Stegostoma tigrinum: one gene and its partners. The protein of the gene in region 3 purifies or fractionates together with the protein of the main gene of each other region. This does not show direct contact. Links are inferred from orthologs where the notes say so. Each region holds a gene or a part of one and is shown on either strand. Other genes may lie near its edges.

Region 1 (7,445 bases), about 35 Mb from region 3:
ATTAGCTCATAGGTTGCCCAACAGAGAGGAACGGCCAATAGTATGTACATCCAGGACTTTGGCTAATGTAGAGCTTAAATATGCCCAACTAGAGAAGGAAGCTTTGGCGGACATACTTGGTGTCAGGAAGATCCACCAATACCTTTACTGAAGTAAGGTTCTAATAATAATAGACCACAAACCCCTGGTAGGTCTAACAAACAGGACAAGGCAGTGCCGCCCAAAGCTTCAGGCTGAATTCGGCATTAGGCTCTAATACTAAGTGCATATAATTACAAGTTGGAACACTGACCAGGAGGCGAAGTTGCAAATGCGGGTGCATTGAGCTGCCTCCCACTGGCAGATATATTAGCCTGTTTTAATACCAAACTGTTCCTGTTCTATTTCATTATAAGTCTACCCCTCAGGCAACTACAGTGATAGCTCCAGCAGAGTTGCAAATGGGAAAATGACTCCATACCAGGTTAAATTTGATTCACCCGGATCCGGGAGGGAGGGTGAAATGACATCAGGAATGTTAGCGCTGGACACATGACTCTGCTAAGCGAGAGAGGAAGTTTACCTCAGGTGATGAAGTTTGGAGTAGGAGATACAGGATTGGTCCTGCACTGGTAAGCGGCATGGTCGATGCAAGGTCAGGTCCAGTGATGTGTAAACTTTGGGCAGGTGCAACAGTCCTGAACAAACATATGGGGACTGTATGAAAGCTGCAAACTCAAAAACGGAGCAAGATGTGCCTGCCTCCTGGGAACAGGCAGAAAGGCTGGAGGAACCCACAGATTCTCCCTGTCCATCAAGCATTGAAGATTCTTCGGAATCTGAGATGGATAAGGTGGATATCACCACCTCAAAGTCTTTGCTGCCTCAATAGGAGAGTAAATTTCTTCCAAGGTTCTCCAGGCCCAAGAGGCGTGTTACTGTGCATCACATGCCACCTGTATCTAAGACAGAGTCAGTGGAACCTGACCTGGCGCTAAAATGCCTCAGGAGAAGCTACAAAAAAATGAACTGGCCTATGTCCTTAGATTCAGAGGGGGAGGGATACAGTGATCCCAACAAGAGGTGCTCTAATTTTACAAATGCAGGTGCAATCCTCCACCTAGTGGTGGCAGTGCCACAAATACAGCCTTTGCACCCAAGATGGTTTTATTTTAAAATCAACCGGTTTGGATGTTTTATGTTAACAAAGTGTGAAGCTGAATGAACACAGCAGGCCAAGCAGCATCTCAGGAGCACAAACGCTGACGTTTCGGGCCTAGACCCTTCTGAAACGTCAGCTTTTGTGCTCCTGAGATGCTGCTTGGCCTGCTGTGTTCATCCAGCTTCACACTTTGTTATCTTGGATTCTCCAGCATTTGCAGTTCCCACTATCTCTGGATGTTTTATGAGACGCCTTTTGTGGTAGGTGTTGAAATCGGACCTTCTGGGCATAGTTATACGGATACTACCAATGTACCACAAGAGACCCTCTAAGATAGTTTATGTTATGCTTGCCTTGTATTCAGACTACTCAAGCAAATGACCGGGAGCACTGGCAACATAAGTGCTACCAGCTTTGCACTGCTGATAACAGCATCCATCCCAATACATTAAAGAGATATTAGGGATTATTACAGGTTCATGAAAATGTTTCATAAGGCTCTTTTATTTGAGCTTGATTCTCCCTTTCATTACACAAAACATCTATGTTGGGGTATATAACAAATTGTGGACATAATGGTTTATTAAAATTAAGATTTTCCATTAATCCATTGAAGTCTATTAATACTGCATGCTTTATTTGGACCAAACAATAATTGTGACATAATTGTTAATTGTCCTGAATAAGGCATTAATACTTCAGCTATTCTGTGTTAATGCCAATTGTTAAATAAACCAATTAAAGACAGGCCATAATGCAAAAAATAAACTGCCCAAGATTATTTAGAAAATTTGAAAAAAACAATAAGATAGTAAGAGTGAATATCTTTTCAAATGTTTACTTTGTTCTTCTGAAATCTTGAAATCAATCCTGTGCAAAGTCCTGACATGTTGTTGAGAAAGCTGAAATGCATGTTCACATTACAAACCAGTTAAGACCTGCAAGAACACAAAGTGGAATTTCAGCTGAAGAACTGAAGATGATGGGGCAGAAATTGTCGTGTCAGTGTCGATTGGATTCAGAGATAGTAGGAACTGCAGATGCTGGAGAATCTGAGATAACAAGGTGTAGAACTGGATGAACACAGCAGGCCAAGCAGCATCAGAGGAGCGGGAAAGCTGACGTTTCGGGTCAACACCCTTCTTCAGAAATGGGGGAGTGGAAGGGAGTTCTGAAATAAATAGGGAGAGAGGGGGAGGTGGATAGAAAATGGATAGAGGAGAAAATAGGTGGAGAGGAGACAGACAGGTCAAAGATGCAGGGATGGAGGCAGTAAAGGTGACTGTCGATGGGGAGTTAGGGAGGGGAAAGGGCAGTCCAGGGTGGACGGACAGGTCAAGGGGTCAGGATGAGATTAGTAGGTAGGAGATGGGGGTGGGGCTTGAGCTGGGAGGAGGGGATAGGTGCGAGGAAGAACAGGTTAGGGAGGTGGGGACAAGCTGGGCTGGTTTTGGGATGCGATAGGAGAAGGGGAGATTTTGAAGCTTGTGAAGTCCACATTGATACCATTGAGCTTCAGGGGTTCCAAGTGGAATATGAGTTGCTCTTCCTGCAATTGTTGTGGCATTGCAGGAGGCCCAGGATGGACATGTGGTTTGAGAAGTGGGAGGGGGAAGAGTTGAAATGGTTTGTGACTGGCAGGTGCAGTTGTTTAGTGTGAACCGAGCGTAGGTGCTCTGCAAAGCAGTCCCTAAGCCTCTGTTTGGTTTTCCTGTTGTAGAGGAGGCCACAACGGGTACAGGAGATGCAATATACCACATTGGCAGATGTGCAGGTGAACATCTGCTTGATGTGGGAAGTCTGCTTGGGGCCTGGGACGGGGGGTGAGGGGGGAGGTGTAGCACTTCTTGCGGTTGCAGAGAATAGTGCCGTGTGTGGTGGGGGTGGAGGGGAGTGTGTAGAGGACAAGGGAGTCACGGAGAGAGTGGTCTCTCCGGAAAGCAGGTAAGGGTAGGGAGGGAAAAATGTCTTTGGTGATGGGGTCGGATTGCAAATGGCGGATGTGTTGGAGGATGATGCCTGAAACGTCAGCCTTCCTGATCCTCTAATACTGCTTGGCCTGCTGTGTTCATCCAGCTCTACACCTTGTTATCCTTGATTGGATTCAATGTTGGTGCAGCATGCTGACCAACAGTATACTGACATTCTCCATACATTGATGTAGGGTCAGACATGATCAGCCACTCTAGGATGGACAAGACCTATGGAAGATCAAAAGCTAGTCAGGTTGTGCAAACAGCAACACCAGTAAAGTGGTAGGTTCTTTGAAAGGCCCTAACAGAGAACACAATCTATTTTGATTTTTTGCAGCAAATGGGTCACAAGTTTTCATTTGGACATATTCAGGTGATTTGTCTAGAATTTTCCTATCATTAATGCCCGCCACAATCTGGCACTCTCAATAATTTAACAACTGCGGTGTCGAGATTGGATTAAAGCAATATCCCAAGCATTTTATTTATTACTGTCACATGGACCTGATTACAGTGAAAAGATTTGTTTTGCAAGCAGTACAGGCAGATCGTAACAAAGAAGGACAAATGAATCATAGGGCGCTTAGAGTTACAACTGCTCAAAGGTGCACAAAAGTAAGGACAACATTAGATTTGAAATTAAAGAGGTCCATTCAGCAGTCAAATACCAGCAGGGCTGAAGATATTCTTTAATCTGCTGTGTGTGTTCGGGGTTCTGTATCTTCTGCCTGAAGGAAGAGCTTAGCTCTGAGGAGCTTACAATATAGGGACAATCAACAGGGAAAATAGGCACGTCTATGAAGTTTGTCGGTATCAGAATTGGGAGGAAGAGCTGGTTTAAGTAAAGATCGGTGAGTTACAAGTGCAGGCTGTCATGTGGAATCGTGGTGTTGTGGCAGTAACAGTGACCTGGCAGAAGGAAGGCCAGGACTGTGTGTTAAATATCCTGGATACAGGCTGTTGAGGTGTTACATTAAAGGAGTTTTTCAACCATTATGCTGCAATATTCTTCTTCCTGAGAAGTGTATTCGTTATTTATTCAATATTACCATATTACCTTCAAATAAAAGACTTAGTGCAATAATACTTTGCCTGGAGAGAACTTTGAACGAGTGGTTTCCATGGGGGGAAGATAATAAAACAAAAAAAAACTTTATTTCCATTCAATAGATTAAATAGTTTGGTTTACAATGGGGTTAAGGCGCTGAATAGAACATCACCTTCATTCCTTGTAGAAACGAATTGACTTGGAAGGTCTGCATGAGCTGAGAGTGAGGGCAGTGTCAGGGGCGGAACCATAAGCTCAGGGACCGGTTTGTGCTGGTGCGGCTGGGGACGGTTACATTGACGGACCGGAAGGGGTCCGGTATGTATTTGGTGTTGCTCCAGCAGTCTGCCGGTTGGTATCGCAGGGAATTAAAGCTCAGGGCTGAATGAACGAAGGTGAATGGGGTTCAAATTCTCTCTCTCTCTCTCTCTCTCTCTCTCTCTGTCTGTCTGTCTGTCTGTCTGTCTGTCTGTGGGTGAGGGGGGAAAGAATGTGAGAGGTGGGTGTGAGGGAGGGGAGGCGCCTAACATCAACTGCATTAGACACAGCTTTCACTAAACCTTTACAGCATAATAGACTGTAATAAAGGTCATAAATAGTGACTTTAAGAAAAACACAAGAAATTCATAACAATTCGTACAGCTCCAGATTATCTTCTTGTTACTAGATTGAGGGATTTAGTTTTAATTGCAAACTCAGATTCAGCATAAATGTCTGAGCTAATCTATTCTTTCCTTTTCCCAGACTCTAGCCAGTGATGATAGTGGGAGTATCCAGTCAGTTGTTGGACATGTTCAGTCTTATTCATCCTAACAATATGGCCAAAATATTTTAATTTGTTCCCTTAAACCCCCTGCTTTAGTTTGAATTTTTAAATTACTGTATTTCTTTTAAATTGCTGTTATTTTTAGGGCTTGCCACATTGTGAATAATATCGTGAGTCAGGTCTTATTTGATAGCGTTAGAAATGCAGGTCCATTTAAGGGGCAAACTGAAATAACTCTAGAGTACATTGAGACAGTAGGTGTTCTTTGTCTTTAAGAGCTTAGTTCTTTTAGCCTCTCGGTCTTTCTCTACCAGTCTCACCTTTGGTGGTCCACATTGAATGAATAACTGGAAACAAGGATAACTTAGGGATGGTGGATATTGGGTGGAAGGTCTCACAGGTGATTTGGTGGTGGGAAAGAAAAACATTCAGTTGTCTGTGATAATTCCAGATATTAAAAGAAGAGCTTGGATTCTTATTACGGGTCCTGTGTTCAAAGTGTAGTGTCTGTATCTCTGGGCTAGGTGGCTTGGGTTCAAGGCTCAACTGCCTGAGATGTGTCATTAACATATCTGAACAGATTGATTTTTTTTCAACAAAAAGCTTGGTTTTTCATACCTTATGGAGAAAAGGCAGAAAAGTGGAGCTGAGAATTATCAGATCAGCCATGGTCTTGTTGAATGATGGTGCAGACTTGATGGGCTGAATGGCCTACTTCTCCTTCATGTTATCATCTTAAAGTGGATAGTTGGTTTCTGGATAAAGAACTGTTGGTGTTAAACTATAGGTTTGTAATTAAATGCTTGCACAACTATGATAGGTTTTTGCTACCTAATTCAACATCAGGATATTTTTCTGTGGAATTTTATTGCCTTTGGCTTGGCAAAATCTACTACTTGTATGCCCTGTAGCACTTCATAAAGTCTTTGATAATTTGGTTGTGTGTTTTAGCAGTTGCGTTTATGCTTTCTTAATAATATCAATGAATGTATGTATTCTGTTTTCATGGTTGCAATTTACCTGACCTTTCTCAGCAAACTGCCTGAGAGGAATAAACATGCAAGTGACTATGGTCTTTCCTAGTTAGTTAATTGCATAAGTACTCTAAGCAAGTAGCTAGCCATTTGTTGAAATGATTTTGGCATCAGTGAGCAGTAGCAATTTTGATAGAACTTTTAACCAAAGTATAATGTTTTTTTCACAGTCTATGTAGTTCATTTATCTTCACAAAAATGTCGGTTTTAATTTATTGATGATCTTCATTCTTGTGTAAAAGAACAGATTGAAGCATGTCAGATTGCTTAATGCCTCTGCCTGTAAAGTTATTCAGAATGTTGTCCCTAGGAATTGAATCACATCTTACACGCACATGCAGCCTTTGTGCAGTTATGCTGCAGCATCTTAGTGCTGATAGAGCTATGGATTCAAAACAACTTGTTAAGGAATTTGAAATGGGATCAGCTTTGGCCTAACCAAAGGCATTGTTTGATTCATTAAGTTTTCAAAGGATGCTTTAAAGATGAAAGGTGGGAATAATTGAGACTGATTTAGAAAAAGAATCTGAATGGCAAAGGAGTTTCAGAGTAAACAAAAGCCATCACTGATCTACTGTGAGGAGTGTGGGGAATGAACAAGAATCTAGGTAGGGAGCAAATGATGTGGGCAAGGATATTGAATTAGTGGATATTTCCCAAGCAGGCTGGAGGAAAGCTTTGGAAGAATTTGATAAAGGGACAAAATCCATTAGGTAAGATAGAAAGTGGCAGGGATCTGGTGAGGTTAAAATGGATAAGATGCTATTTATGTGGCGCAGGAGCTAATTTATACTAGATTAATTTTGTGAAGAGAGGCCAGCTGAAAGAAATTCATTTTTGAGGTAACCATGTGTGAATGAAGGTTGTGGAACAAAATGGGTAGGATTACTTTAAAGTGTGGAATTGAGAATTATGAAAATAAAAAATTGCCTAAAGCAAAATTAATGCCAGCTCATAATAGTGGTAACTTAAGGTGCTATGTAACAAGCAATATTGAATGCCGTTAATGGCCGTAGTTCTCTATAATGTAAGATCTTAGTAGTTTACGTAAATTGGATGTTGATGTGATGTTTAACTAAGTTCTTCTCTGTCTGTTTTGGAATACAGGCCCAAAATATGGCTACTGTGGAAATGGATCAAGAACTGGCGAAAAAACTGTTCTTTGAAGGAGGCACGCTTATAATACTTGGTGTTCCTGAGGGCACAGAATTTGGCATTGATTATAATTGTTGGCAAGTGGGCCCCAAATTTAAAGGAGTGAAGATGATCCCACCGGGAATCCATTTTATGCATTGCAGCCCTGTGAACAGCAGAGATATTCGGATAACAGGACCACGCACGGGTTGTTTCTTTCATATAAAACAGAAGGAAGTTCTAGTGAAGCGATGGGACAAGAAGGAAGAAGAAATAGTTTCAGTTGCAGTTTCGGAAGAAGAAAGAGAGCAGATAAGAGAGAATCTGACTGAACTGGACAAATGTTTAG
Region 2 (7,856 bases), on a different chromosome or scaffold from region 3:
TCACATTATTTTAAAATAGAACCATTGGACCGTATCGGAGACTTTGATGTCTACAGTTTTGTTCATGAGTTCAGACACACTGTCAGTTCAAACATTTGCATTAGAGATTCATTTTGCAGTAGTTTATGAATAAATGAAAACTTTGTGTCCCAACTCATTGGCTGGCATATTGGTGGGGTAGTTGAAGGTCTGTCTAAGTAACAGATTATTTCCAATACATATTATAGGTAGGATTTCCAAACATTACATGAGTTACAGACTGTCTAAAACAGTGCAAGGTGAAATGTAGCCCAAATACATTAAATGGTAGTCCATGTCACTTCAGAAAGCAATTTTCTGCTCTAAGAAATCACTGCTAGCTAGGTAAATGCTCCACATAGATATTACCTTAAATAGATGTTATGGTTAAAATGCACTGGTGAACACCTTCTTACCTTGTAGCAATATTCAGACAAGTAGAGAACGCTGACATTGTGTTGGCTCAAGGTGTTATGCAGAGTAATCAAGGCTTGATTGATCTGTAGTTCTGCGGCTACCAGGAAGTAAAAGAAACGCAAAGTGTCACTTCTCCTTTCGTTGTGTTTCCATTTCCTTTCATCAGCATGTCATCCTTCAGCTGGAAGCTAGGGAAGACCAGTCTTAACCATGGATTCTTACAGCAGACAACATGCAAGATTCAAACATATCAAGGTGAAAGCTGTATTCATGTTCTCTTTGCCCTCAGTCTAAGGTGGCCCAGTTTTGTTTCATTATATAAAGATATTGAACTTTAATTCCCCAGTGTGATCTCAGCTATAAATTAAAATAGAATAATCAGGAGTAGACAACAGGTCTTTCAGTGTTCTTAAGAACAGAAGACATTTTCTTATCCCCACAACTGTAGAATGGGCAATAAGTAAGCTATATTTTACATTAGTGCATAAAGGAGTAGAAGGGAGTATGTGCAAGAGCAAAGAGTCAATATTACTTTGTGTTTTTTGTTATGCACTGTTTACAAGGGTGACCATTAGTTCACAGTCTGCTTGAAATCTTTCGAACTTAAAAATCTGCAACCTTCAAAATATTGCACAAGGCGGCGAACAGAATCTGCTGCATCAGGCAGAATTGACTCTTTGATACAATTACTAGTGGCTTAAAATGGAGACAGTAAATACATTTGAGCCATAACATTTCAAACACGTATAATTATTATTGCGACCATTATTCCTGTCTCCCTCAATGCTGACTCTACCTCTTCCATACTATGATTTCTTAACCCAAGGAATCGCGTCCCTTTCTCTGTTCCAACAATTCTCTGAACTCCAATAACAACTATATTATATAAAACAACTTTTAGCTTATACAGACGCAAATTATTTAAATGCATTGTCCCTTTAAATAGCCCATTACAAATCCATTCGAAAATCTCTTACACCAGCAATAATGGTAACCAAACCCATTGTGAGGCAGAAGGGAGCTGTTTCAGCCCTTAGTGTCAATAACATTCTCAAACCTAAATGTCAGGCTTTGCTCAGATGGTAAGCACTATCCCTTTAATATTGAGATAAGAAGCTCAAGCCGCATTAAACAGTCCAATGTAGTTCAATTGCTGTTCGATTTTTAAAAAAGCTACTTGACAAAAGATAACACATGATCTAATCTTTATTTACTCAATCTAACACTTATTTACAGCATGAAAAAGTATAAGGTCATATCTTCTAACTCAACCATACCATAGTTTAAATAGGCGCCAGTTTATATGCACAAGTGAAATAGCTACTGAGCAAGTCTACACCTCAAAAGTGGCTGTAAAACACAAACCTGAGGGGTCGAAGGTGCTGTTATTTATGTTCTAAAACTATCCATGGTCGATGTTAAAGATAAAATATTGGGGCATAATGTTTTCAAAGCAGCTACTTAGTGTGCAAGCATCTCAATAGATAATTCGAGGTATCCTGAGATTATGGAAATGTGCTATATAAATATAAATACTTTTTGTTTCTGGTTGTCAATAAGCTGGATGCACTGTTTCAGCTGCTAATTAATGCAACAATTATTTTTACCACCTACTTCAACAGTGTGCTTATCAGCAAATTTGAGAGTAGCAATGACAACATTTGTACTGTTCTTTGCTACAAAACAATGCATTTCACAGACAACCTTTACGCAAGAAGGGAAATGTAAAGTATGTTTAAATTACAGATTCAAAAAGTAAAAATCAACTATCATAGCCCATTTATCGTCCTCCAACTAACTATTTATTTTGATCTGTGGCTATTATTCCTTACATGTAGTTCATTCATCACTCCTGCTGATTTTTCTTCTTTGAGAGAAGTTTTATTAGACACTCTGTCTTTGTCAGTGTGCTTCTAATGAATTTTTACCATTTCTCCTGGAGGATTGCCAATGCTGCCCGCACAAGAATCAGTCCCTGATAATTTATTGGTGTCCTGTTACCCTAACGAGGTAAACTTTTTTTTTGCATTATGGCAGGTTAATGTTTAAGTCACATTTCACAAAAATTCAACTAGGTTCTAATCGCCTATCAGCAGCATACCACCGGAGACTTGACTCAACACCAAATCATGCTCAATCCCTGCAAGGTATAAAGACAGTAACTCATCAATAAACAACTGGCAGCAGTGGATTTGGGTTCTTCTCAATTATCACAAAATATGTGAGCATGTCATGATCCGCCTGAATGTGGAGTGATCACACACTAACATGGTTCAATTACTTAAGTGCTTGTCTCTCTGCAAAACAAAGATTTTCACACACATATATTCTAAGTAATATATTCTCTTCTCAGTTGACTAAGCCAACATGTTTTTTTCTAAGCAATCTTATAAACATTAGCTTTCAGCATTGTAGAAACTAAACAGCACACCTTGCAACATTTTGATGTTCAAGTTCAATGCCACATAACAGGCATATCCACCTTAATCCAGATAGACTAACAGGAGGCTGGAAGAACACAGCAAGCCAGGCAGCATGTGGAGGAATGGAGAAGTCAACGTTTTGGGTATTACCCTTCTTCAGGATTGGATATGGGGGTTGGAGGAGGTGCAGATAAGGGGGATGGTGATAGGGGTATGGTGGCATTAGGTAGACACTTTCCACTCCCAAACCCTCTCTGCCTTCTGCAAAGATCATTCCCTTTGCCACTTCTTAGTTCATGCCACATTCCCCACCAACCACTCCAACACCACCCACTCCCCGCCGACCCCCGTATCTTTCCCTGTAACCATAAAAGGTGCAACACCCTGCCCACATACCACATCCCTCGTCTCTATCCAGGGCCCTAAACAATCCTTCCAGGTGAGACAGTTTTCACCTGTATCACCTCCAGCCTAGTCTACCGCATCTGGTGCTCCCAATTTTGGTGAAACCAAACATAGACTCGGTGACTGTTTCACCGAGCATCTCTGCCTGGCCTGAAACGGCAAGCCTAACTTCCCAGGAACCGCCCATTTCAATCCACCCTCTTCCCCTCCGACATGTCCATCCTCAGCCTCCTCCAGTGTCGCAGTGAATCAGAGCTCAGATTAGAGGAACAACACCTTATCTTCCACCCGGCCACCCTTCAGCCCGGAAGACTTAATATTCATTCTCTAATTTCAAATAACCTTCCAACCCATCCCCAAGCCTCCTTTCCAGCCCCACTACCTCCTCTCTATTCCACATGCCAACTCTCCCTTCCAGCTACCAACCGGATTCAGCACTCCCATCAACCAACCATACCATGCCTACTACCAGTGTCCACCTATCACCACCATTCCGCTACCCTCTCACCTCCCCCCACCTTTATCTGCAGCTACCCCCACTCCCACATTCAATCCTGAAGAAGGATAATGACGAAAATGTTGACTTCTCTTTTCCTCCAGATGCTGCCTGGCTTGCTGTGTTTTTCCAGCATCTGCAGTTTGTCTCTACCTCAATCCAGGTACCCAGCTAAAATATAAACATAGTAATGGTTGTCTACAAAGGATTTGTGATTATGTTCATGTCTTTGGCTTTTATCCAGGAGAATTTCTGGTTGACAGGCCAGAGTTGCAATTTGAACATTACAATCAAATCACTGCATTCTAATTCACCATTTAGAACTCTGATGAATTTCTTACCTGAAGATGTTCCCTGGCTACATATCACCGTGACAAATGCCATAAGAACAACAGACCTTTTAGCCTCCATGTTTAACAAATGCATGAGGGTCTAAATTTTGCTCTATGCTTTAAGAGGCAAGAGCAGAGTTCAGAGATTATACATAGGAAAAGTAGATACATAGCTGCAGGTAAAACTTAAGGAAATTACTTTACACAAGTACAATAAAATAACTATTAAAATTAATAAAGGTCCAGTGGCCACACCTAGTCCATAAATAAAATGCAAATAACTAGTGGACAGGGTCTGCAGTCCTGACATTACAAATACTCCTTCCACCTATGACATGCGCTCCATCAAGAAAATGTTCAATTGGTTAATATTTCTATTGCCTGTAAATTGCCCAGAGTAAATTGATAAGCACAAGATGGTGTAGGTTGGTCGAGAACTTTGCTGCACAATGTTGCATACTGGACAGAAACAGAGACCACATCCCGACATGATGTTGTTAGGATGAGGTGAGGTTCACTTGGCGGTTGTTCCATCTCCCACACACAGCTCAGACATCCCCACCTTCTTCCTCAACAGAACTGTCCTCTCTACCGTAGTCGGCAACTGATAACAACCCGGTAAAACTTTGGTTTTATTTTTAAGCAAGGTTTAAGACTAAAACATCACGTTACTTAATTTGAACAACATCGCGACGTCAGTGACAGAGTGGCGTCACTGAGACGGACCACGTGATCGCATTCTAGAGGAAGCCATTAAGTGACGGACCCGGTCGGTGGGGGAAGCCGTTCAGTGACGTTCCAGGTCGGGGGGAAAGCCGTTAGGTGACAGACCCGGTCCCGGGTGGGAGAAGGCATTAAGTGAGGGCTGACGGGCCATGGAGTCGCTGGTAGATGAGCGGCGTCGTGACTGGCCGCAGGACACAGTCGGCTACAGGCTTTATGAGATTGGCGGCGAGGCTCTTCAGTCTGATCCCGATCCCCGGGCCCGGTTGGAGCAGCAGTTGGAGAAGATCGTCGGCAGCCTGGCCCCGCTCTGTGCCGGTTACATCTGGCACAATGAGGCCTTCAGGCTGCAATACACGCCGGCCCGGGGTGAGTACACGGCCCCCTCTGGTATCCACGCATGCCTTTCTTCCCGTGCAAGCCAGTTTGTGGCTCTGTGCCTGAGCACTTCTCGTTATATCATTGTTAGAAGTTATATCATTAAATCTGATATCAAATGGTGATAAATGTAATTAGGTCACGCTTAATGGTACAATTCCATACACGTGCTAGGATGCAGAGCCACAGAAATGTGAATTAGCGCAGTGTGTAGTTGGAGGAGCACAGCAGGCCAGGCAGGGGACTCGGAAAAAGGGTCTTTTTCTGAAGAAGGATCCCGTTCCGAAACGTCAGCTTTCCTGCTCCTCTGCTGCCTGGCCTGCTGTGCTCCTCCAACTCCACACTGTTATCTCAGACTCCAGCATCAACAGTTCTTACTATCTTTAAATGTGAATTATATTTATTATAAAATAAAGTTGCCATAGACCTACGGGACCATAGGGTGGTAGTGGTTTGAAGACAACAGATGTTGGAGATCGCAGTGGCTCAGGCAGCATCCATGGAGAGAGCAGCTAACGATTCGAGTCTCGATGACTCTTCAATGGAGCTGATGTGAAATGTGGACGGAGCTGCATTTGTGCTGTAGTTGGTTTAACCTGAGGTCACCATGCCCCATGCAAAGGGAGACATTGATATGAAGACTCCTTCGTTGTAAACTCAGCTAGTTAGGGAATTGAAGCTGTGCTGTTGGCATCGCTCAAGATAGCAAACAGCCATTTGTCCAACAGAGCTAACCAACATGAATGTCTGTAGAGGAGAGAGAGATAATGGGAACTGCAGATGCTGGAGAATTCCAAGATAATAAAATGTGAGGCTGGATGAACACAGCAGGCCAAGCAGCATCTCAGGAGCACAAAAGCTGACGTTTCGGGCCTAGACCCTTCATCAGAGAGGGGGATGGGGAGAGGGAACTGGAATAAATAGGGAGAGAGGGGGAGGTGGACTGAAGATGGAGAGAAAAGAAGATAGGTGGAGAGAGTATAGGTGGGGTCTGTACGCTCATTCACTGCCTTCAACACTTACTCCCTCTATCCACAGTGACAGCAGTACCAATGTGAATCATCTACAAGATGGACAGTATCAATCCATCTGTGCTCTCCCAATGGAACCTTCCAAACCCAGTATCTCTACTATCTGGAACCAGCGCAGTGATGAATGGTAGGGAGTCAGTTAGTTTAGCAAACCAGTAGTTTATGATGCAAAGTGAGCCAACAATGTAGGTACATTTTCAGTTTCAGCTGAGGTTGTCATTAGGTCCCAGTGGTTGGGCAATCTTATCTGAGGCATGGTGACCCTCAGGTTAATGTCACCAACAGCTCTCTCCCTCAGATGAGAGAGCACCTTACTATCCTCTGGGACTAAGATGACTTGGGAACATTGCCATTTGCAAGTTTTCTGAATTACAGTACCGTTAAGTCAAGATTGTAGAGCTTCTTCCCTAACAGCACTGTGAGAGAACTGCACAATATGGACTGCAGGTGTTCAAGGAGGCACCAACTTAGAGGGATAAGTAATAATCAGCTTTTACATCTCAAAAACATTTTCTAAAGATTCCCATAGGAAGTTAACTACAATAGAAATTCCTTCAGAATTTTCCATCTAAGCTGTCAAGTGAACAGTGTGTGGAGGTTTGGTGATGGGCGGGGACACTGTAGAGACATCACTCAATGAGAACGACCCCTGTTGTGGCAACAATCTGCGTGTCAAGCCTTTGAACATGTGATGGTTGTCTTGCTGCAGTTACTGCACAAGGAAGCTGGTGCTATCCATGGGATTACAGATGTTTTTAATTAACCTTTCAGACATGTTATGACCCGTCTGGTGCAAGTGGGTCTTGAACCTGGACTTTTTCACCCAGAGATAGGAATGTTACCACTATCCCACAAAAGCCCTAAAGTAAGTGATGACAAGTAAGTTAGGATGGCATGGTGGCTAGTGGTTAACACTGTTGCCTCACAGTGCCAGGGACCCAGGTTCGATTCCATCTTTGAACAAATGTCTGTGTGAAATTTGCACATTCTCCCTGTATCTGTATGTGTCTCATTGCTCCAGATGCTTTGGTTGCCACTTGCAGTCCAAAGATGTACAAGTTGAGTAGATTTGCCATGCTAAATTGCCCTGTAATGTCTAGGAATGTAGAGGCTAGGTGGCTTAGCTTTGATAAATGAGGAGTTACAGGGATAGGTTGGAGAGCTGCATTTGGGTGCGATGCTCTTTGATGGTTCAGCGTAGACAATGGCTGAATGGCCTCCACACTGTGGTGTCAAAGAGAGATGAAAATTCTGCCTCATTTTAGACAAATATACAACGGTACAGAGATGAAAGAAACTTATAATCTGAGCTCCTGAACTAAGCTTGTGTGACAGTGAATTGAACAATGTTCTGTCATTTGTAAATTCTTGTGATTATGCCTTTGCTATGACTTGTACTCTGATTTATCAGGAGTTGTTTTTGTTTTGAGTCTAAACCCTGCTGATCTAAGCCGATTTAATGTACCATTGCTTAAATTTTAAGAGGCTAATGCAAATCTTTTCTTTTTAGGAGATGTTCCGGCTCACGTTGGTGGTGTCACAAACTTTGGTGATAATGTGGATGACGAATGGTTGATTGTCTACCTCATTCAACAAATCACCAAAGAGTTCCCAAACTTAGTGGCAAGGTATA
Region 3 (7,983 bases):
TTTAGTTACATGGTCAACTGGGGACCTGTAGATTTTCTCCATAATGCAATTGGGGAGATGCTCAAATTCAAGGATTTTGAAAAGTGTAAATAAATAGATGCTATTTTTGGCAGAATGGTCAGTAATCAAAATGCACAATACCAAAATTGAAGAATCAGACATGAAACAATGAATTTCATTCCTCCAACACAGCACATTATTCTGGTTTGGAATACTTTGCCTGAGGATGCTGGAAACATTTTCAAATGGTACTTTTCCAAAGCGAACTGGATAACAATTTCAAAAACATCTGCGCAGCTTATACAGGGTCACATGTTTATTATCCTTCCTTATACCAGGCAAAGGAATAAACTGCATAACCTTTCAAGCCTGCTCAACTATTCAATATGATTGTGGCTTACCTTCTACTCAACCCCACTGTCTCATCCACCACCCATAACACTTAACTCTCCAAGAAATCTAAATTAAGTCTGTCCCAATCTTAAATATATGTGTAGTCCAGTTTACCAATCTCATTTCACAGAAACAAAATATAGGTGCAGCCCATTCAGCCTTTCAAACCTGCTCCAATCAGTATAATCTTGGCTGATTGCTTCAGTACCTTGTTCCCACTTTCTTTTCATACTCTGATCCCTTTAGTCCTAAGAACTATACCTATATCTGTCTTGAAGGTTTTCGATGTTTTGGTCTTAACTGTCTTCGGAGACAGAATTCCACAGGCTGACCACTCTCTGGGTGAAGACTTCATCTGGTCTCAGTCCTAAATGTCTTACGCTGTATTCTCAACTAGTGACTCCCTGGATGCTCTGGTCAACAAGAACATCCTTCCTGTATCTGCCCTGTATAATCCTGTCAGATTTTTATATTTTTCTAGATGATCCCTCATTGTAGTGACTATAATCCTAACCAATCCAGTCTCTCCCTGTATGTCAGTCCTGCCATCCCAGGAATGAGCCTTCTTTGCAGTACCTCAACAGCCAGAACATCCTTCGTCAGATAAGGAGATAAAACTGCACACAATACTCCTTGTGTTGTCTTACCAATGTTCTGTACATTTGCAGAAAGACATGCGTGGTTCCATACTTGACTGTTCTCACAATGAAGGCCAACATACCATTTGCCTTCTTCACTGCATTCTTAGTTTCAGTGATTGGTGTACAAGTACAGAGTTTACCCACTTCGCCAATTCATCACCATTCAGATAATAATCTACCCTTCCTGTTTTTGCTATCAAAGTGATAACTTATTGGCCCACATTCTACTACATTTGCCCAAAACACATTGAAGCATCTCTACATGCTTCTCACATCATACTCTACAATCTAGCTTTGTGTCATCTGCAAACTTGGAGATTTGACAACTTCCTCTCTAAATCATTAATATATATATTGTTAATATGAATCATTAATATATTGCATGATCATCCCAGGAGTAAGTCTTGGTGGATTTTTTTGTTGCACACGATGGCAATATTATCTTTCCTGTGATAAGTACCCCAGGTTTGATCTAACCAAGCTCCTCCACAATTAAACCAACACTTCACTATTCCTACACTCCCACAAACTTTACTAGCCTTGCTAATAACTCACTGCATCTACAGGCTAGCTTTTACTGATTTATCAATAAGGGTTCCTAATCCATTTGTACACTTACACTTTCCACTCTCTTACCGTTTAACAAATAGACTGTTACACCCACCAAAATGGAAAACCTTACATTTTTCCACATTACATCCCATGTGCCATGATTAGCCCATTGTGCAAATCCTCCTGAAATCAACTCACAATAAACATTCCACCTTAGCTTTGCATCGTCTGTAATTTTGGAAATATTCCCTTTGGTTACCAACTCTACATCATTGATATATATTATAAGCTCAGGCCCAAGTACTGATCCTGGTGGTAACCCTACTAGTCATAAGCTACCAATGAGAGAATGACTTGATTTACTCTCTTTTCTTCCTTTTAGTCATTAATCTATGCTAGTAGTTACTTCCTATCCCAAGTGCTTTAACTTTTCTAACTAACCTATTGCCCAACCTAATCATTATCAATCAGGTTAATAAAATGTGAGGCTGGATGAACACAGCAGGCCAAGCAGCATCTCAGGTGCTCCTGAGATGCTGCTTGGCCTGCTGTGTTCATCCAGCCTCACATTTTATTATCTTGGAATTCTCCAGCATCTGCAGTTCCCATTATCTCTCATTATCAATCAGGTGTCTATTTAATAAATCCCATCCCTAATGACAGATTCTAGTATTTACCTACCACTGATACAAAGCTGACAGGTCTGCAGTTCAGTTTTCTCCCTTGTTCCCTTCTAAAATAGTGGGGTGACATTTGGAATCATTCCAGAGTCAAAAGAAACTAGGAAAATAATAACCAAAATAGCAACTCTCTCTACAGACACCTCCTCCAACAAGTTGATGAAGCATCCAAAACTCATTGCAGGTCAGAATTCCATAAACTGTTAAGTGAAGAAATTTCTCATCAGTCCCAAGTTATTGGGCCCTTGTCCAGAGACTGTGTTTAGTTTCGAGCCAAATTTACATTTCTATCTTTACTCAGTTCTGGCGAAAAGTTATGTTGACCCGAGGCGATAAGTCCCTTCACAAATGCGGCCAGTCCTGCTGAGGTTCTAGGTTTGCATTTCAGAGTTGCAGCGACTGCAGTAATTTTGATGGGAACTCGCCCTCGGCTGCAGAGCAGCCTCGATAACCCGCGTAGCCTGTTCGCTCAGACCCCTGCTGCACCAACCTCGCTGGGTTTGGGAAACCCCAGCTTTGAGAGCCTCCCCACCCCTCACCTGGAACTCAGATCCTCTGGGTCACTCGGTTCCTCCACCAGATACGGGTCATCCTGCTCCTGGCGGTTCATGTTGGAGCCCGGGCCCGCCCCTCTCCTTTCACCCGAGCCCCGGGCCCGCTCCAAGGCCTCACTCGAATCGGGATTATCGACGCTGCCGTTGGACCCCCTAGGTCGCGTCACTAAAACGCGCCGCAAGGAGAGGGGCCTGAGTTACTTTTGGCGCTGACATATTACGCAATGAGCTTTCTGCACTAGACGCCGCCCTCTCCACTGACCCTCGTCCGTTGCAGTGAGACGGCCACCTGTTCTGGCTCCATCCATGTGCTGATCTTGGCCCCTGTCTTGCCCCTGCCCAGCCACTCGCCCGGTTCCCTGTCCTGGTAGCCCTAAGCCTTTGCCCGTCGCCAAGCCCCATTGATGAAACCAGCGCTGTCAATCTCAAACTGCGTCTGTGGTAACACTTTCAAGAGGAACAGAATCAAGAACAAGGGAAACTGTGGACTGATTAACTACTGAATCTAACCAGAAAACTATTTAAAAACAACAGGAAAGTGATAGGAAGGTACAGAAGCAGTAATGGAATATAAAAAAAACAGTGGACTGTTTCAGCCGAAGCATGTGGTCCACAACAATCACTGGAACTGGATTCAGAAACTTGCACAATGTGATGTATCGGGGGAGGTAAATTGTCAGAATACTCTGTTCCAGGAAGCAACCACATATTTTAGGCTACATAATTTAGATTTGACTTGTAGTGCAGGGACAGATAGGTGTGACTGTAAGAGAAGCAGATGCTACTTTGATTGCCGTCGTTTAAGAATTCCTTGACAGACTTTTCAGCACTTTATTATCCTTGTCCTGTAACTTCATGTGTTGCTGTTTCCACATTAACACTGCATCATCAGTTAGCTGTGCCATTATGTGACTGGTTTGCTTAGTTTTTGGCCATTTAACCAGGAAGCCAGATTTGAAAGGGTAAAAGAGAAACTCCAAATTGAAAAGAGAGGGACCCAGAGCTGAAAGGGAGGAGAGAGATAGTGAAACCCAACATTTAAAAAGAGAGAGATAATAGGAACTGCAGATGCTGGAGAATTCCAAGATAATAAAATGTGAGGCTGGATGAACACAGCAGGCCAAGCAGCATCTCAGGAGCACAAAAGCTGACGTTTCGGGCCTAGACCGAAGGGTCACAGTTTATTATATTTAAAAAGAGAGACCCAAAATTGAAAAGAATAGAACTAAACAGAAGGCTAAATCTGGAGGACACTAAAATGAAGCACCCATTCCGTAAGACCACAAGGCCATAAGATATAGGAGTGGAAGTAAGGCCATTCGGCCCATCAAGTCCACTCCACCATTTAAATCATGGCTGATGGGAATTTCAACTCCACTTCCCTGCACTCTCCCTGTAGCTCTTGATTCCTTGTGAGATCAAGAATTTATCAATCTCTGCCTTGAAGGCATCTAACGTCCCGGCCTCCACTGCACTCCATGGCAATGAATTCCACAAGCCCACCACTCTCTGGCTGAAGAAATGTTGTGTCATTTCAGTTTTAAATTTTCCCCCTCTAATTTTAAGGCTGTGCCCACGGGTCCTAGTCTTCCCGCCTAACGGAAACAACTTCCCAGCGTCCACCCTTTCTAAGCCATACATTATCTTGTAAGTTTCTATTAGATCTCCCCTCAACCTTCTAAACTCTCATGAGTACAATCCCAGGATCCTTAGCCGTTCATCATACGCTAAACCTACCATTCCAGGGATCATCTGTGTGAATCTCTGCTGGACATGCTCCAGGGCTAGTATGTCCTTCCTGAGGTGTGGGGCCCAAATTGGACACAGTATTCTAAATGGGGCCTAACTAGAGCCTTATAAAGCCTCAGAAGCACTTCTCTGCTTTTATATTCCAACCCTCTTGAGATAAACGACAACATTACATTCGCTTTCTTAATTACGGACTCTACCTGCAATGTTCTATGTTCTAAGACAGAAACTCAGAATTGAAAAAGAGAAAGAAAGAGAAACCCAGTGTTGAAATGAGAAGGTGCGAGTTCCAGCATCAAAATGGGAGAGAAACCCAGTGTTGAAGTAGAGAAAGAAAGACAGGGTACAGAAAGAAAAAGAATAAATATGAGCTACAAACATCCGTTGGTATTGAGCCTGAAAGAGCAGGAAGAACAACACCCAAAAATAACAGGTATCATTGATAGTGAGGAACGTTATCAAAATTGCAGAGGGATCTTGATCAGGTGGGGAAGTGGGTTGAAGATTGGCAAATGCAATAAAATACAGAAGTGTGAAGTGTGGCACTTTGGAAAGTCAAACCACGTTAGGATTTATTCACTAAATGGAATAAAGTAAATGCGTATATGGAATAAAAACAAAGTTGCTGGAAAAGCTCAGCAGGTCTGGCAGCATCTGTGGAGAAGAAAACAGAGTTAGCGTTTTGGGTCTGGTGACCCTTCCTCAGAACTTGTATGGAATATAACGTAAATGTCAGAGGAAGTGGTTGAGACAGGTACAAAAACAACATCCTGCCCCACTGATGTCAACTCCATTTTCTCCCCCTTGGTCCAGGAACTGCCCACCTACGTCCATGACACCACCCACGCTCTCCATCTCCTCCAGAACTTCCAATTCCCCGGTCCCCAACACCACATTTTCACTATGGACATCCAGTTCCTATACGCCTGCATTCCACATGCAGATAGCCTAAAGGCCGTCTGCTTCCTCCTGGCCCGGAGACCCGACCAGTCCCCCTCCACCGACACCCTCATCCACCTACCGAACTCGTCCTCACCCTCAACGTCTCTTTTGATTCCTCCCACTTCCTACAGACGAAGGGGGTGGCCATGGGTACCCGCATGGGCCCAAGCTATGCCTGCCTCTTTGTAGGTTACGTGGAACAGTTCCTCTTCCGCACCTACACTGGCCCCAAACCCCACCTCTCCTCTGTTACATTGATGACTGTATTGGCGCCGCCTCGTGCTCCCAAGAGGAGCTCAAACAGTTCATCCACTTCACCAACACCTTCCACCCCAACCTCAAGTTCACCTGGGCCATCTCCAACACATCCCTCACCTTCCTGGACCTCTCTGCCTCTATCTCAGGCAACCACCTACAAACCAATGTCCATTTCAAGCCCACCGACTCCTACAGCTACCTAGAACACACCTCCTCCCACCCACCCTCCTGCAAAAATTCCATCCCCTATTCCCAATTCCTTCACTTCCGCCACATCTGGTCCCAGGATGAGGCATTCCGCACCCGTACATCCCAAATGTCCTCGTTCTTCAAGGACCGCAACCCTCCCCCCGCCCCCGCAATAACCGCCAAAAGAGAATCCCCTAGTCCTCACATATCACCCCACCAACCTCCGGATACAACACATCATCCTCCGACACTTCTGCCATCTACAATCCGATCTCACCACTCTCCACGAGAGACCACTCTCTCTGCAACTCCCTTGTCCGCTCCACATCCCCTCCAACCCCACCACATCACCACTTCCCCCTGCAACCGCAGGAAGTGCTACACCTGCCCCCACACCTCTTTCACCCCCATCCCAGACCCCAAGATGACTTTCGACATCAAGCAGATGTTCACCTGCACGTCCGCCAATGTGGTATACTGCATCCGCTGTACATGGTGTGGCTCTCTCTACATTGGGGAAACCAAGCAGAGGCTTGGGGACCGCTTTGTCGAACACCTACGCTCGTTCACAATAAACAACTGCACCTCCCAGTTGTGAACCATTTCAACTCCCCCTCCATTCCTTCAACGACATGTCCATCCTGGGCCTCCTGCAGTGCCATAATGATGCCACCCATAGATTGCAGGAACAGCAACTCATATTCCACTTGGGAACCCTGCAGCCCAATGGTATCAATGTGGATTTCGCCAGCTTCAAAATCTCCCTTGGCCCCACTGCATCCCAAAACCAGCCCAGCTCGTCCCCGCCTGCCTAACCTGTTCTTCCTCTCACCTATCCCCTCCTCCCACCTCAAGCTGCACCTCCATTTCCTATCTACTAACCTTATCCTGCCCCCTTGACCTGTCCGTCCTCCCTGGACTGACCTATCCCCTCCCTACCTCCCCACCCATACTCGCCTCTCGACCTATCTTCTCTATCCATCTTCGGTCTGTCTCCCACTCTCTCCGTATTTATTTCAGAATCCTCTCCCCATCCCCCTTTTCTGATGAAGGGTCTAGACCCGAAAAGTCAGCTCTTGTGTGCTCCTAAGATGCTGCTTGGCCTGCTGTATGCATCCAGCTCCACACTTTGTTATCTCAGATTCTCCAGCATCTACAGTTCCCATTATCTCTGTACAAAACATTCAGATGGGAAGGATTTAGAGGGATATGGACCAAATGCAGTCCTGAGGAGTGTTGTGGAACAGAGGGACCTAGGAATACAAGTTGAAAGTGGTATCACAGGTGGACAGGATGGTGAGGAAGACTTTTAGCATGCTGGCCTTTATCGGTCGAGGCATTGAGTATAGGAGTTGGGACATTATGTTACTATGGTATAAGTTGTTGGTGAGGCTGCCCTTATGGTCACCCTGTTATAGGAAAGGCAGTGTTAAACTGGAAAGTGTGCAAAGAAGATTTACAAGGATGTTAGAGATAACGGGAACTGCAGACGCTGGACAATTCCAAAGTCGCTAGGTTGTACATGCTCAAAATCCGCAACAAGGTCCATACCGAGACAGCAACCTTGAGACGTTACCTCCTGCCTTACATGGAGTTGAGACCGGTTACCCCTCCCAGAGGGCCTGAAACGTCAGCTTTTGTGCTCCTGGGATGCTGCTTGGCCTGCTGTGTTCATCCAGCCTCACATTTTGTTGTCTTTACAAGGATGTTGCCAGGACTAGTAGGCCTGAGTTGTAGGGAGAGTTTGGCCAGGATAGGACTTTATTCCTAGGAATGTCAGAGAATGAGGGCTGACTTACTGAGTGTATAAAATCATGAGGGGGATAGATAGGATGCATGCATATAGTCTTTTCCCCAGTGATGGGGAATTGAAAACAAGAGGGCATAGTTTTAAGGTGACAGGGGAAAGATTTAAGGAGGACCTGAGGGGAGGCACGGTGGCTCAGTGGTTAGCACTGCAGCCTCACAGCACCAGGGATCTGGATTCGATTCCAGCCTTGGGCGACTGTCTGTGTGGAGGTGCAC
Region 4 (7,033 bases), on a different chromosome or scaffold from region 3:
GAATTTAGAAGAATGAGAGGACACCTTTTTGAAACACAATATTCTTAGGGAACGTCACATGGTGCATGAGAGGCTGTTTCTCCTTGTGGGAAGAGTGTGGGACTAGGGGGCATAATCTCAGAGTAATGGGATCCCCACTTAAGACAGATGATGAGAAACTATTTCTCTCAAAGGATAGTGAACCAATGGAATTCTTTACTGCAGAGGACAATGGAGGCTATGTTGTTAACTATGTTCATGGCTGAGATAGGCAGATTTCTCTTCAGTAAGGAAGTCAAGAATTGTGAGGATAATGTGAGAAAATAGAGCTAAGTGGGGTTGATTATCACATCAGGGATTTATGTCGAGGAAGAAGACCAAATGTTCTAAATAGCCTGTTGCTGATCCTACATCTTCTGAAGTTGAACCTCATGGTTTTTATGTCTAAGTTCAAGTTGTATCAAGTTTGGCCGGGTTATTCTTGCAGCAAAACCAAGTGAGTTTTCTCATTAAATTGTACTAAACTTAACATGTTAATTGGCATTTCAACCATCACAGCAAAAATCCTGTCAGAATCCATCCCATCTCACCACGGGCTGTTCCATGGAGATCCTCCCTAAGACTAGCATCCCTTGTGGTTGCTCCATTTTCCAAAGCTATCCTGTCAGTCATTGAAGTCAGGAAAAATGTCAGAGAGAGGGAGGCTGGCCACCCTTCTGAGAGAAACCTGGGGGTCTTTGTAGATTGAATGGTCAACAGAACAGCAGTCCTATTCCCAGGTGACCAGCCGAAGAGGCCACACCACCACACCATGCCAGAATGGTCAGAGATCACCAGATAGTCAATGCTTTCTCCAAAATAAGCAGGACTGGCTACAGTGCTGCCGGAAGGTGAACAATCTCCTCTGCTCTGACAGGGTAAGTGTGGTGCTTTGTTCTTCACTACCTTACACTTAGCAGACACCCTTGACTGAGGACTGCTGCACAGCATGGCCACCTGACTGGTTGTGAGACTGTGTCAGCTGTCAATTCAAGGCACTGTACAGTAAGACAAGGAATGCCAGTAGGGACCAGGGTGATTGCACGTGAAGGAAGCAAGGGAGCAGCCATGGACGATAGTTTAGTCTACAGCACGGAATGGGTTCCTGTCTCTCAGAGGTACCTGCATCCAATATAGGTGTACAGTGCTGCCAGTGTGTCCTGGTAGATAAACCTGCATTTGAGAATGCCAGGATGGTGGCAATGGCACCCTGAAAGTCAAGATCTACTGTACACGATGGAAGGGTACATAAGGGTGGTATTGGTGAATTGTGTCCTAAGGTACAGTTTTTCTATGGGCAAAACATAGGTCTTTTGCAGCAAGTAATGAACTGAAGCCATCTAAACCTACTCTGGTCGACTTTTCATGACAGCTAGTTTGTCTGGTAAGATTGCAACTCATTGCTATTGATAAATGATTTAAATAATTTCACCATGTTGTTTGACAAGACTGTACAAGATGCAGTGACCTTAACATTGAGACGGCCCTCAAAATCTCACCCGATTCCAAGAAAGATCTCATCACAGCCTGATAAAATTCAACCAAATTTGGCATTAAAACAGTAATGGAACATTTAGAAGGTCACAGGCAGGTCACATTATTAGAGTTCTGCATTTGTGCACCAGGGCTGATTCCCAAGAATGAAAGAGTTCTATCACAGAATGGTGTAGTACTTGGGCCTTTAGTTATTGGCAACTTTATTGAAACACGTGAAGATTCTAAGGAGATAGTAGGAACTGCAGATGCTGGAGAATCTGAGATAACAAGGTGTAGAGCTGGATGATCACAGCAGGCCAAGCAGCATCAGAGGAACGGGAAGACTGACGTTTCAGAAAATTTTCTGAGGGATCTAGGCCGGAAACGTCAGCCTTGCTGCTTGGCTCGCTGTGTTCATCCAGCTCTACACCGTGTTATCTAAGATTCTAAGGAGGCTTGACCGGGTAAATGCTCAGTGGAAGAATCTGGAAAGGGCGGGGGGGGGGGGATTGTGAAGTTTACTCATGCTTGGATTTTTCTATGGTATAGAGCAATGGAGGCCGGGGCACTAGTATACTGAAGGCTAAATTAGACAAATTAGTAATCTACAAGGGAATAATGTGACATAGGCAAGAATGTGAAATTGAGCATCCAGATCAACAAGATATTACCGAATGGCAGAACTGGTTCGGGTAACCAAAAAAATATCGCAGCCCTGTTCGTCTTTCTAACGGCTCTCATTTGCATGTTCTGCTAATACTCACTTCTCGGCTCTGTTGTGAGCGATGTCACTTTGATAAAACGACCAAGAGTGATCAAAGGCGATGATGGCCTGATGTCTTCTACACGGAAATGAGTTAGCACTACAGTAATAAGTTATAACAGTTGCTTTTTACGCTAGATTTCCAGACTTATTTGTTTCATGAAATATTCATATCTCCGCATGAAGATTGCGCAGTGTGTTCTGCTACATCTTTCAATCATTCCGTAATACTCACAAATTCCGAGTGGTGGACAAGATATTGTCTAGCTCCAAAAGCACAGCGGTTCTTTGTTCATTCAGTTGTGACTCTGAGTCCATATCCCTCTAGTCCCGATAATAGCCTAATTCCCAGATACTGACTCCGGTCTCTGCAACACCTTCTACAGGCCCATTCACTGACAACAAGCGCGCCACTACCCTGGATGCGTGATGGGAATTGTAGTCCTACAACTCTCGCTTCATCCTCGAGAACTACAATTCCCATCATACCGTGCAAACCATCTCCAATACTCACCATGGTAGCAACCGGCCAGTCTGCCAAGCGACGGTGATGAGCAGTTGCTCTGACGAATTAAGAGCGGAGGAATTGGTTTATTCCAATCGGGGTGAGGGAGAAGACGGAATTTTTTGTTGCTGGGCCACTTGGAACGCTAAGTGCGCGCTAAATATTGCATGCTACTGTTGGCAATGGCGGGACGGATAGAGGGATATTGAGTTGTTGTGTAAGCCTTCTGGGTGCCCGCGTTGTGGGATGGTTAGTACCGCCCCTCTGCTTTGTCCTGTTGGTTGGGATTCCCACCGGTCACCTGGTGCTGTGTGTCGGTACGGACACCCGCCCACCTTGAATTAGATGTTTATTCAGCCAGGCTGATCATAGAGGCGCAGGAGTTTGAGGTGTGCAATCACACAAAACAGATAGGAATCCTGCCTGCGCTTGGAGATCATGGCAATTCCAGAGCAAGGCAGTAAATCGGGATTCGTCATCCTGATAGCTCACATCAATATGGCTCTATATTCCACTTGCTTCTGGATCCAGACTGGGGTCGTGCCTGTGAGTAGTAATCTGCCTTTTACTGATAAATGATAAGTTAAAATGTAGTGGAGTGCCCTCGATTGCGTAATGTTCGGAGCTTGTCATATTAAGAACGACAATTTAAAGAAGTCTGCTGAATCACGAAACGTTAGAATTGCCTTGTGTGGTCTCATTCTAAACTTCCTTATCTTTAATGTTTCATGATTGAACGGACTGTCTAAGCTGCAAAGAATTTAATAACGTTTTTAAACCTGGGCACTGATCGTTGCACGAGCAGGAAGTACCGCGAAGTTTATTGAGTAATGCATCAAGAAGTGATTGAAATTTATGTAATAGTGTAGTAAACCAAGCTGTTCGACCTATCGTTCTTGAACCGGCTCTTTGAAGCAACTAGCTAATTGAACACACTCCTCCCCACTCCTGTTTTATTTCTTACCACACAGTTTTCCTCTTCCCCCCCCTAACTGCACCTTGTAAATTATTATTCATCGGCACATTATTCCAAACAAGGCATTCCAGGTCGTAACAATTGTTACACAACGTGGGAGGAAATTATTGCTAAAAATGCTGGAGATCACAGCCGGTCAGTCAGCATCAGAACGTTAGTTTGCTATCTCGCCACGAATTCTGCCTGACCGGCTGTAATCTCCAGAATTTTTTTTTTGTTTTCAGTAACAATTGTTAACTTGGTTGAAAAGAAATCTCAGTTCTATGAGAAAATTAAAAAGAAAATTAGCGGATGTTGAAACAAAAACTTGCTGAACAAACTCGGGTCTTTTTTTCTCCACAGATGTTGCCAGACCTACTGAGTTTGCCCGGCAATTTCGTTGCTTCCTTCAGTGCTCCTTTTGGTTCTTTTGCCGATTGCCATGCTCTCTTTGAGAATTTCGCTGTCATTTCTGAGACTTATTTTATTGTAAGTTTTTACACTGCCAACGTTAGGTCGATGGGCTCTCGCATTGCAGGTCTAGTGATAATGGGAACTGCGGATGCTGGAGAATCCAAAATAACAAAGTGTGGAGCTGGATGAACACAGCAGGTCCAGCAGCACAAAAGCTGAGATGCTGCTTGGCCTGCTGTGTTCATCCAGCTCCACGCATTGCAGGTCTGTTCCCTTCCCATGTTTTGATTAATGACGTAATCTTTTTAACACCCCAGTCTTCTAGCACGTCCTCCATACCCAAGGAAAATTGGAATTTCTGGTGAGGATCTCTGCAAGTTATATTTTGTTTCTTTCAGTTGCCTGCAGGAGCGAAAGTAGCCCATTCAGCCTCTCGAGCCAGCTCTGTCATGTAATAAGATCACAGTTGATTTGACTGCAATCTTAAATCCACTTTCCAGCCTATCCCTGATAGTCTTTCACCCTCTTGCCAGCAAGACTCTACCTACCCCGGCTTAAAAATCTTTATGGACTCTGCTTCCATTGCCTCTCCAAAGACTGGTGACTCTGGGGGGGAAAGATGCTTCATCTGTTTTAACTGACTGACCACCTATGTTTAAACAGTGACTCCTAGTTTTAGATTCTCCCACCAGAAGAAACATCTCTACAACTACTCTGTCAAGTCCTTTCAAGATCTTGTATGTTTTGATCAAGTTGCCTCTGTCTTGTAAACTCCACTGGATAAAAGCCTAGCCAGCCAATATTTTCTCATTAGACAACCTGCTCATTCCAGGCACTGTACTGCAACGGGTCTAGTAACGGCTGCTCTCTGGTTTGTACCAGAATGTGCTGTTCTAAGAATTTATCCCCTAAAATATTCTATGACCTGTTCTTGGCTTCGTCTGCCTCTGTGACTTTTCTAGTCTGTATCTAGATTAAAATTTTCTGTGATTGATGCTGTGCTTTTTGGACATAGTTGTCATAATTGATGTAGTTAATATTAGGAGGCCTGTACAACAATCACGCAAGTGACATCTTGCCTTTACCATCCTTCATCTCTTGCCAAACCATTTTCACATCTTAAAATTGGTTATCCCTGTCTATTACCATCATTAGCTAACAGAGTCATTAGCTAACAGAGATACCAATCTTGCAGCCATCTCTCTGGCTGTCAGATTGTATCTATTTTGTGTGCATTTGCAGTTCAATTTCTGTTTATTTATTGAAAATTGTGTGCATTAGATAGTGTGTTTAGTTTTATGCATGTTTCTAATCTCCAGCCTTATCTGTTAATTCACTGTTAGATTTGTAGTCTCTACCATTTCTTGAAGAAGCCTATTTATCCTTTCTAAAACTGATATCATTTTTGTGTCGTGAGTTCATTGATCTAGATATATCCAAATTTGATCCCTTCCTCATCATTTTTTTAAGCACAAATTACTCTCTACTTCCCTAGTTACATGGCTCAAATAACATCAACCCAGTATGGTTCAGGTGGTTACCCTGAAGTGCTGATACTACTTTCCCCAATATTGATGCCAGCTTCCCATAGACTAGAACCCACTTGTCTGACATCACTCTGAGCCATGCATTCATCTTCTAATCTGATTTGTCTTGTACCACTTTGTATGAGGTTAAGGTAATTCAGATAATCAGATCCCTAAACAAAATGACTTTTCTGAAACAAACATAAACCAAACTAACTGGAGAAACTTAGCAGGTTTGGCAGCATCTGCTGAGAGAGAGGCGCAGTTAATGTTTCAAGTCCAATGACCATTGATCAGACTAATTTGTTCTAAAGAAGGGTCACTGGTTCTGAAAAGTTGACTGCTTTTTTCCTCCACAGATGCTGCCTGACCTCCTGAGTTTCTCCAGCTATTTCTGTTGTTCACACCAAGATGACTTTTCTACTTCGAGTACTGTCGACCTTTTAGTACTTCTGCTCTATCTACTTCTCTACTACCTCCACCTTTGACGTCAATAGTACTATTTGTGATGACAGATGGAAAGGCTTCAGAAATCAGAATAAGGGCCCTGAACTGAAATGTCAACTGTCCTGCTGTTGTGATGCAGCCTGGCCTGCTGAGTTCCTCCAGCTCCACAGTGTTATCTCTGACTCCAGTATCTGCAGTTTTTCTGAAGAAGAGTCTGGGCCTGAAATGTCAGCCTTCCTGCTCCTCTAATGCTGCTTGGCCTGCTGCGTTCATCCAGCTCTACACCTTGTTATCTCTACTTTAAAGGTAGCCTGTGTATCATAAAGCCAGGGAGGTGATGGCCTAGTGGCGTTATCGCTGGATTGTTAATCCAGAGACCCAGAAAACATTCCAAATCCTGCCACCGCAGATGGTGGAATTTGAAGTCAATAAATATCTGAAATTAAGAATCTAATGATGACAATGGATCCATTGTAAATTGTCAGGAAAAGCCCTTCTGGTAATGTCCTTTAGGGAAGGAAACTGCCTTACCTGGTCGGGCCTACATGTGACTCCTGGCTCACAGCAAAGTGGTTGATGCTTAACTGCCGTCTGGGCAATAAATGCTGCCTAGCCAATGACACCTTCATCTCGTGAATGAATAAAGAAAAAAAACACCTCTTCAATTGGCAGAGAAGAATGAGAGATGAAGAAAGACACCTTAGTAACTGCATAAACAGAACAGAGAGAGATTCTGTGATTTCAAATATGACACTGGAGACCTTATTACTAGAGACTGAACTGTGAGATATTAAGGAGACAGTGAAAACAGTCCTGAAGAAGGTCACTGGACTCAAAACATTAACTTTTTCTCTCTACAGATACTGAAGACCTGCTGAGTTTCTTCAGTATTTTCTGTTCTTGTAACCTCTGAAGCAGTGAGAGTGGAC

Evidence for each region.
Region 1: the proteins of eapp (region 3) and aar2 purify together in Homo sapiens (affinity purification with mass spectrometry; 4 studies listed by BioGRID and IntAct, counting the BioPlex papers as one, with this or other methods). This does not show direct contact. The link is inferred for Stegostoma tigrinum from reciprocal best matches to the Homo sapiens genes EAPP and AAR2.
Region 2: the proteins of eapp (region 3) and ecd purify together in Homo sapiens (affinity purification with mass spectrometry; 3 studies listed by BioGRID and IntAct, counting the BioPlex papers as one, with this or other methods). This does not show direct contact. The link is inferred for Stegostoma tigrinum from reciprocal best matches to the Homo sapiens genes EAPP and ECD.
Region 4: the proteins of eapp (region 3) and tssc4 purify together in Homo sapiens (affinity purification with mass spectrometry; 3 studies listed by BioGRID and IntAct, counting the BioPlex papers as one, with this or other methods). This does not show direct contact. The link is inferred for Stegostoma tigrinum from reciprocal best matches to the Homo sapiens genes EAPP and TSSC4.

The regions. Positions count from the first base shown.
Region 1 is NC_081372.1:22,483,177-22,490,621, reverse strand, and holds the start of aar2 (protein AAR2 homolog), read left to right. Parts: upstream 1-4,443; 5' UTR 4,444-4,557; intron 4,558-7,069; 5' UTR 7,070-7,078; coding exon 7,079-7,445. UniProt on the Homo sapiens protein: Component of the U5 snRNP complex that is required for spliceosome assembly and for pre-mRNA splicing.
Region 2 is NC_081390.1:21,631,338-21,639,193, forward strand, and holds the start of ecd (protein ecdysoneless homolog), read left to right. Parts: upstream 1-4,846; 5' UTR 4,847-4,966; coding exon 4,967-5,183; intron 5,184-7,733; coding exon 7,734-7,851; intron 7,852-7,856. UniProt on the Homo sapiens protein: Regulator of p53/TP53 stability and function. Inhibits MDM2-mediated degradation of p53/TP53 possibly by cooperating in part with TXNIP. May be involved transcriptional regulation. In vitro has intrinsic transactivation activity enhanced by EP300.
Region 3 is NC_081372.1:57,947,236-57,955,218, forward strand, and holds the start of eapp (E2F-associated phosphoprotein), read right to left. Parts: upstream 3,005-7,983; 5' UTR 2,877-3,004; coding exon 2,806-2,876; intron 1-2,805. UniProt on the Homo sapiens protein: May play an important role in the fine-tuning of both major E2F1 activities, the regulation of the cell-cycle and the induction of apoptosis. Promotes S-phase entry, and inhibits p14(ARP) expression.
Region 4 is NC_081370.1:15,501,720-15,508,752, reverse strand, and holds the start of tssc4 (U5 small nuclear ribonucleoprotein TSSC4), read right to left. Parts: upstream 3,009-7,033; 5' UTR 2,772-3,008; exon of another isoform or gene 2,748-2,771; intron 2,702-2,747; exon of another isoform or gene 2,493-2,701; intron 1-2,492. Other genes in the region: slc22a18 (solute carrier family 22 member 18), read left to right, coding at 3,201-3,308, 4,081-4,206. UniProt on the Homo sapiens protein: Protein associated with the U5 snRNP, during its maturation and its post-splicing recycling and which is required for spliceosomal tri-snRNP complex assembly in the nucleus.